2 linked regions of the Rattus norvegicus genome follow. The protein of the gene in region 2 interacts with the protein of the main gene of each other region in a pairwise test. Links are inferred from orthologs where the notes say so. Each region holds a gene or a part of one and is shown on either strand. Other genes may lie near its edges.

What was found.
Region 1: the proteins of Supt20h (region 2) and Mapk14 interact in binary tests that used the Homo sapiens proteins (3 or more experiments, as listed by UniProt). The link is inferred for Rattus norvegicus from reciprocal best matches to the Homo sapiens genes SUPT20H and MAPK14.

The regions. Positions count from the first base shown.
Region 1 is NC_086038.1:6,750,085-6,753,831, reverse strand, and holds the start of Mapk14 (mitogen-activated protein kinase 14), read right to left. Parts: upstream 2,474-3,747; 5' UTR 2,154-2,473; coding exon 2,038-2,153; intron 1-2,037. UniProt on the Homo sapiens protein: Serine/threonine kinase which acts as an essential component of the MAP kinase signal transduction pathway.
Region 2 is NC_086020.1:141,046,645-141,050,391, reverse strand, and holds the start of Supt20h (transcription factor SPT20 homolog), read right to left. Parts: upstream 2,830-3,747; 5' UTR 2,756-2,829; exon of another isoform or gene 2,533-2,755; 5' UTR 2,424-2,532; intron 1,422-2,423; exon of another isoform or gene 1,371-1,421; intron 851-1,370; 5' UTR 775-850; coding exon of another isoform or gene 767-774; coding exon 764-766; intron 1-763. UniProt on the Homo sapiens protein: Required for MAP kinase p38 (MAPK11, MAPK12, MAPK13 and/or MAPK14) activation during gastrulation.

The DNA.
Region 1 (3,747 bases), on a different chromosome or scaffold from region 2:
GGCCCTGGGTTCGGTCCCCAGCTCCGAAAAAAAGAACCAAAAAAAAAAAAAAGAAACTGTTTGGTAGAAGTCTATCTCATTGGGAGGCTGTGCTCAATCCCATTGCAAGAAAGTAACAGCACTAGAGGAAGTGGTGTTGGTTTCACTGTGGCAAGTCACTGTAAAGCTGGCTCTTCTGCCAGGGCAGCAGTGGCCCTAGGAAACCCTGCAAGTTCCCTCTCCCAGAAGCCCTGAGTTCTGCTCCATCCTTCCCAAGCATCCAAATGGGGACAAAAGCCTGATGCTGTAACAGTGAGCAATGAAGACTGGAGATACTGAGGGAGCTGGTGAGTACTAGAGAAACAAACCAATCACAAACACGGGATGTAAATTATTGACATCCCCTTTAAAATGCAAACTGCCAGTCTGTAAACTTGGGGGAAAGAGGTCAGGGCTGGTGCTATCAGCAGCACAGCCTAGGCAGCTCCAACGAGCAAACGCAATATGATCTGTTGCCGGACATGGTTGCACAATCGCAATTACCAGGAAGATTCTACCAAACAGGAAATTCACGATGTGACTTTAAGTAACACAGGATTCATACTTAAAGATTAACACATCCAGAAGCCTAGAATTTGTTCCAAAGGGGGGGAAAAAAAACATTTCACAGGCTCTTTCAGGGAAACGTGAATATAAATCACTAAAACGCAGAAGAGTCTAGTCTGTTGAGTCTGGTCTTTACTTTCAGATAGGGAGGTCTAAACTGACACTGAGTCCCAATAAATGAGACTATATGAATCCTTGAAAGTCCCTGACATTTCTGGAGTGGACCTTTGACTGTATAAATTTAATCTGAAACCTGCTCCCAGGGCCTTGTGTGGTAGCAAATGCCTTTATTCTCAGCGCTGGCAGGAGACAAAATTTGTTGAGTTCCAGGCCAGGCTTTGGTCTAGCCACTGAGGCTCAGGCCAGACAGGGCCATCCATAGTGAGACTCTGTCTCAAACGAACTCAAACAAAAAGCCGAAGTGTTAATGAAAGCTGAAAGGCATCGTTTTCTGCGGCCAGGTTCTCCCGAAAAACCCCCATGTGCCTCGGTGCTTACAAGCTTAAAGCCCCCTGCAAATCTTCTAAGGGGCTTAAAGAAAGAAAAGCATCCCAATTAAAAACCATTTACAACTCCAGCACTCGGTCCCACCTTTTTGATCTTTGAGGGGCGCCCAACAGATCAGAACCACTCTGGCTCCGTATGGAAAACTGGTTTTGTCAAACAATACTGAACTGAGCAGCGCTGTGTGACTAAGCTGAGAGCTGGAGCGTCCTTGCAGGCACTGCCACCCTCCCTCCCCGAAAAGGAAATACGCTTTCAACCGAATCGGAAACACACCACGGCAAGCTGGCACCCCGCGGTCCCCGAGATAAAGTCGGTATTATTTTAAGCCCTTCGGGGTGCTGCTAATTCAGGTGCGAATCCCAAAAGAACGTTTCCCGATTCTGGGTTTTTCGACCGAAGCTTGCAAAAATGGTTAAATGGGAGGGAAAAACTGAGAAAGAGAAAAAAAAATTCCGGGAAAGGGAGCGCTTTTTCTTGCAAGTTTCGTTCAGGTGACCGCAGTCCCCGGGTCAGGCTTTGACCTACTGCTCCTCGCCGGAGCTGCGCCCAGCTCGCCCGCTCCCCGGGGCAGGGCTCCTGCGTGCCAAGTGGCGGTACCCGGAGGCAGGGTCCAGAGGCCGCACGGCTGCAGAGGGACCCCCGGGAGGAACGATCTTGCGAGCATGGAGAGCACAGGGTGGAGCCCCATCACACCGCGCCCACGGCTGACCCGATCCCGCACACGGTTCCCCACCCACCTGAGTGTGCAGGGCGAGGGGTGCAGGACACGTCCCGCTCCAACTGCCCCCTGCACCCCCAAGACACGCCCGCAGGAGAATTCCTGCCGCTGGGCGCATCGCTGAGCTGTGGGGACAGGCCTGGCGCTCAGGCATGCAGGGCCACCCTGCTTGCTCCACCACGTTCCCTCCCACCCCCGCCCCCAACCCCAAGCCCGGCGACACTCACCACACCGAGCCGTAGGCTCCCGAGCCCACCGGGGACAGGTTCTGGTATCGCTCGGGCACCTCCCAGACGGTCTTGTTCAGCTCCTGCCGGTAGAACGTGGGCCTCTCCTGCGACATCTTCCAGCGGCGGCAGCGCGGCGACGAGGTGGCCGAGCGAGGGCCCCTGCCTGCAGCCGCACGCTCTCCTCTGCGCCCTCTCGCTCGCCCGCGGCAGACCCGACCCCGCGCCCGCGCAGGTGTGGAGGCTGCGACCCACGGCTCCTGTCAGCCGCGGCGGCACCTACGAGCCTCGGCAACGAGCGGGAGCCGGCTGCACGGTTCGACGCAGCTCCCGCCGCGGTCCCCTTGCAGCCGCTCCCTGGGGAGCGCACGCCGACGCTGCGCGACAGCCGCTCGCGCTCTAGCGCCCGCTCGGGCTCCAGTGGCCGCGATCTCCCCCCTCTCCCCGCAGGCAGCGGCCGGGGAGGCTCTAGCAGGACTCTCGCGAGAACAGCTCCGCGAGCCGAGATCTTACCCAATATGGAACCTGCCCGTGGGGCGGGGGTGCTCGAGAAGAGCGCGCGGGACGGGAAGATCTCGCGAGAAGAGAGACACGGCTCCGGGAGCTGAGGCAGGAACTCTAGGGGAGACTCTGCTCCCGGGGGGCGCCGAGGGTGGGGGCGGACCGCAGCGTAGGCCGCGCGCGCCTCTCTGTGGTCGGACCGGCGAATGCCCGGCGCCGTGGCGGAAAACCACTGGGACGGCGTCGGGGGGGGGAAAGAGAGCCAAGCGGTCTTTGAGCTCCGAGCCACCTGCTCACCGGAGCCGGCGATTTCCAAGAAAGATTTGCAAGAGCAGACTGGCCCTGTCCAGAAAGCTGTTGCGTTCCCATCCGCTCAAGGACGCGTGGCTTATCTCGGGACGCTGATGAAACCTGTCCCCCTCCCCACCCAGGCAAACATTAACCCGGTCTCAAAGCCCAGGCTCTCCCTCCCGCCGGACGCTCCTAGCAGCTTCTAAATGTCCTCACCAGAAGAACCACCGTGGAAGGTGTAGGAGGAGGTTCCAGGGACCCACTAGGGAGTCCGATGCACAAGGTCAGAGGTGGACGTCAGGAATGGCCACTTTGAGGCTGAGACCTGCGTTTGCAAGGCCCTGGGTTCGATACCCATGACTGGAAGGGAAACACACTCTCTCTCTCTCTCTCTCTCTCTCTCTCTCTCTGCAGGTAGGTCATTCCATTTCAGGAAAGTTTCTCATTTATTTTACTTATTTAGATGTACACATCCTGTAATGCCAGCGTTTGGAAAGACCAGGAGACCCGTCTCATGTATTTGATTTTATTTATTTACTGAATTATTTAGATTTATACAGCCTGTGATTCTAGCATCTGGAAAGACCAAGAGACCCTTCTCATATATTTGATGTATTTATTTAGATTTACGTAGCCTGTAATTCCAGCGTTTGGAAAGACCAGGAGACCAGCCTCTGCTATATAGTGAGTAGTTAAGAGACCTGCCTGGGCTGTTATGAGACCATATCTGGAACACCCCAAAGCCCATGACTCCGGTTCGAGACCGACTCCTGCCAATTTAGAACCATCCAAAATTTAGAAATTTAAAGGAAAAATTGGGAGAATTTTAAGAACTTAAATTGAGGGAGCTGGAGAGATGGCTCGGTGGTTAAGAGCACTGACTGCTCTTCCAGAGGTCCTGAGTTCAATTCCCAACAA
Region 2 (3,747 bases):
TGTGTTGGGGGAGGGGTGTGTGTGTGTGTGAGGGGGGAGTACAGACAGGGTTTGGAGATGCTGTAGCCTATGCTGGCTGCAGCTCTCTAGCCCAAGCTGGCCTTCAACACACAGAGACCCTTTGACCTGAGTGTCCCAAGTACTGGAATTACATCTGTGTCAAAGTAAATCTGCCTACATTTGTTAATTTTAAAGCATGTAAATGGAGGAGTTTGGGGAAATAGTTCAGTCCAAGTACCTGCCACATGACCATGAATAACAGAGTTTAATCTCCAGAATACATAGAAGAAAACTAGACAGGGTGGCACAAGCAGGGATCTGTGACGGGGAAATACACCTCAGGAGCCAACCTGGCCTACTCAGCCAGCTCTAGACCTGTCTCAAAATAAAAGGTGGACAGAGCCAGAGGAAGGGCACTGACATTATCATTTCTTTACAAACTTATAGACCCACATGTATAGAACAAGCATACTCAAAACAGATGTAAGAGGAAACTTAAAATATGAGAAGTCCTCCCCAAGTATCTGTACTTATATCAACCTCCTAGCCAAAGACTCAGGGAAAAAAAAAAAAAAAAAGACAAAGCAGAATTAACTTGTAATACATGGAGGAGCTGTGTAATTCGAGTCAGATTATTTTCTAGGGAATATTTTGACATCGTTACTAAGTTATCTGTGTGTTTCTATCCACTATTGTTTTTATGGAGCTAAAGGAAGAGAAGAGTATAAGATACACATTTTAACATGCTAATTTCACAGCTTACCATTGTGGCATAAGATAAGGACCCAGAAAGAAGACAAAACTTTAGACGTGCTGTGGAAGTGGGGTGGAAATCATGTCTTCTTAAATCCTGCAGAAAACAAACAAATAGGAACTGCTAGCATTGCAACTGCAAAACGCGTCATTATCGGGAAAGCACTCAAGGCATATACATTCTAGCTTACCTTTAAAACAACCTTCTACAAGACAGTGTATTAGAGCCACCTACACACAGATGAAAACCAGCTCTTACAGAGCAGGCCAAAACCGTCTGAGAATTCCAATCATTACCTCCCATGGCCCAAAAGTGACACAACACTGAGAAAAACTGGCTTCTAAAACGTGTTTTCTAGCATCAATATGGGACTGTCTTCCCTGCAGATTCTACAACCTGCCCACCAGCTTTGACAGCTATGTAGGGCCACTTTGAAATTCAGTTTTTAGTCACACTGATGGCAAAACCAGAAACCCTCTATTCCCCCTCAAGCGTCCCAGGCTACGCTTCCCAGATTGTTCTAGTCCTTTTCCTCAAGAAAAGGAGAAACATCTTTAAAAAAACCTTTTCTATAATGCAGGGGTTCTCATCCTGGCTTAAAAACCAAGTAACCTACCCAGCTTTAAGTTGAATGCCCATGTCCCATTCTCTGGGTTCTGGTCAAAGTCTAGAATAGAATAGGGGTCCAGAAATAAGGAAACACCACAGTGGAAGGCCACTGTTCTAACCCTTTCCGCCTACCAGAGATGATACACTCTGCTCTGAAGACACTAAAAGTTCTATTACTACAGCTTTCACCTATCAATTTGCACTCACTACCACAGAAACTACACAACTCCAGTAAGGTACAAATTCTGGTGACAGAAAACCAGATTTCCTATGCAAAACTCTTTCAAAGGGAAGGACCCCCCCAAAGCTTAAGCCAGTACAGGCTAAAAAATATTCCCTGGTAGTATTAGTTTTTTAAAAGCCAAAATGTATCTTTTTAAGAATGACATTATTTCTGTCTTTGAATTACTAGAGGAAGTATAAGCAGAATTTAGGTGAATTTTTTTTGACCATTAAACATAAATAACAAGACTTACAAATCTAATGTAGTAACTCAAATTACAGTTACTTTTTACGAAATTAGAAGGGAGGGGTATTTTAAACTATTTCATTGCGCAAAAGAACGAACACACGTGTTATCTCTTATATTGTTTGTATATGTAATTGATGAGAACTGAGAACCCATGTGAAACTATTATACATCATCGACATCTCTATTTTACCGAGAACTCAATGCAAGCGACTCACCCAGTATCACAGTCCTATTTAGGCATTTGTCCCATCGCAATTTGTAACCTTTAGTTCTATTATTCTAACCTTCAGCCTAATCAAACCCGCATCCATGGTTCCTCTTTTTCTTTCCTTAAGCAAAGCATTACGAACTGACTTGAAGAGGGCACTCACGTATTTTTTTCCTAATTTTAATGTTAAGTTTATATCAATCATAGTACTCTGTACTCAATCTCTAAGTCTGTTCATACTGCTTTTGCACTTGGGCGTCTTAACTACGGACTCGGATGGCGATAAAAGATGGCTCCCAGGGTAGACATCAGCTACTCTGATTTCTCTGATGAACTTGGGTCTCAATTGCAGACTTTTTTTTTTTTAACCCAGGCTTTACCCTCAGAACGCCAACTCCACAGAGAAGTAACCGGCTTTATTCAATAGTCACACAGGACTCCGGCCTGAAGAAGCATTCTGCCAACCCCGCAGGGAGTTTCCAGAAATACCTGTAACGGAGCCCAAAGGACAAGTTATTACTAAAAGTGCAGGCGAACCGGGCCACGAAGTGCTGAGGGTCGTTCGCGCAGAATGGCCGCCGATGGGGCCCGCCCAAGACCCGGAACTTGGGAGAAGCAGATCGACCTCTACTCGTCTCTTCAGATCCGGGCCGCCCCAGGACACTTGACCTACAACCCCTAGCCGGCCCGCCCACCCACCAAAGTCACCTACCACCTTCAGTCTGAGAACTCAACTAAGGGCTGCTGTAACGCCCACCCACACCTCCAACCGCCACTTCCGGCCGCTGCTCTTCCGATTGGCGCGTTGCTAGTGGAAGGGGCGGGTGTTGAGGCCGTGCAAGGCCCGACACAACGCTCACTTACAGCTCCAACAGGGAGTTCCGGCCGCCGCAGTTCTGATTGGCGGACTGGGCGGGACCGTGGGCGGGGTTAGAGGTGGGGCGGTGATTGGACGTTTTGAAAGGGGATAGTGGCTTAACTGGAGGGGCGGGCGACACCCGCTTTCCAGGGTCTTAGAGTAGCTTCAGGAGCAGGCACAACGCTGGAGCAAGTTGTCCGGCCGGTTTGCGCGGCTTGGGAGAGCATGGGTTTTAATTTTCGGGAGCAGGAAAAAGTTGAACTTCCAAAGTTTGTGAGACATCTTTACCAAAGTTAATGAGTTCAGAACTTGGAGCTTGCTTGTGGTACGTCAGGTGCCAGCGAATTCCTTAAGTCCTTTTACACCTATTTGTTTCGTGCATATATGTATGCAGTGCATTTGGGGGTCACAGGACAACTTGTGGGAGTCGGTTCTCTCCTTCACGATCCTGGGGTTCAGACTCAAATAGTCAGGGTTGATGGCAAGCGCCCCTTATCTGGTAATCTGTCTCCCAACACCGTTTCAATTTTATTTTAACCACCCCAGTGATGAGTTCTTAAAAATCTAGAAAAGGCATGATCGGACCACAATTAAGTGTTTGGTGGTTGTACTGGCTGGTTTTATGTGTCAACTTGACACAAGCTGGAGTTATCACAGAGAAAGGAGCCTCAGTTGAGGAAATGCCTTCATGAGACCCAGCTGTAAAGCATTTTCTCAATTAGTGATCAACGTGGGAGGACCCAGCCCATTGAGGGTGGTTCCATCCCTGGGCTGGTGATCTTGGGTTCTATAAGAGAGCAAGCTGAGCCAGCCACGGGAAGCAAGCCAGTAAGAAGCATCCCTCT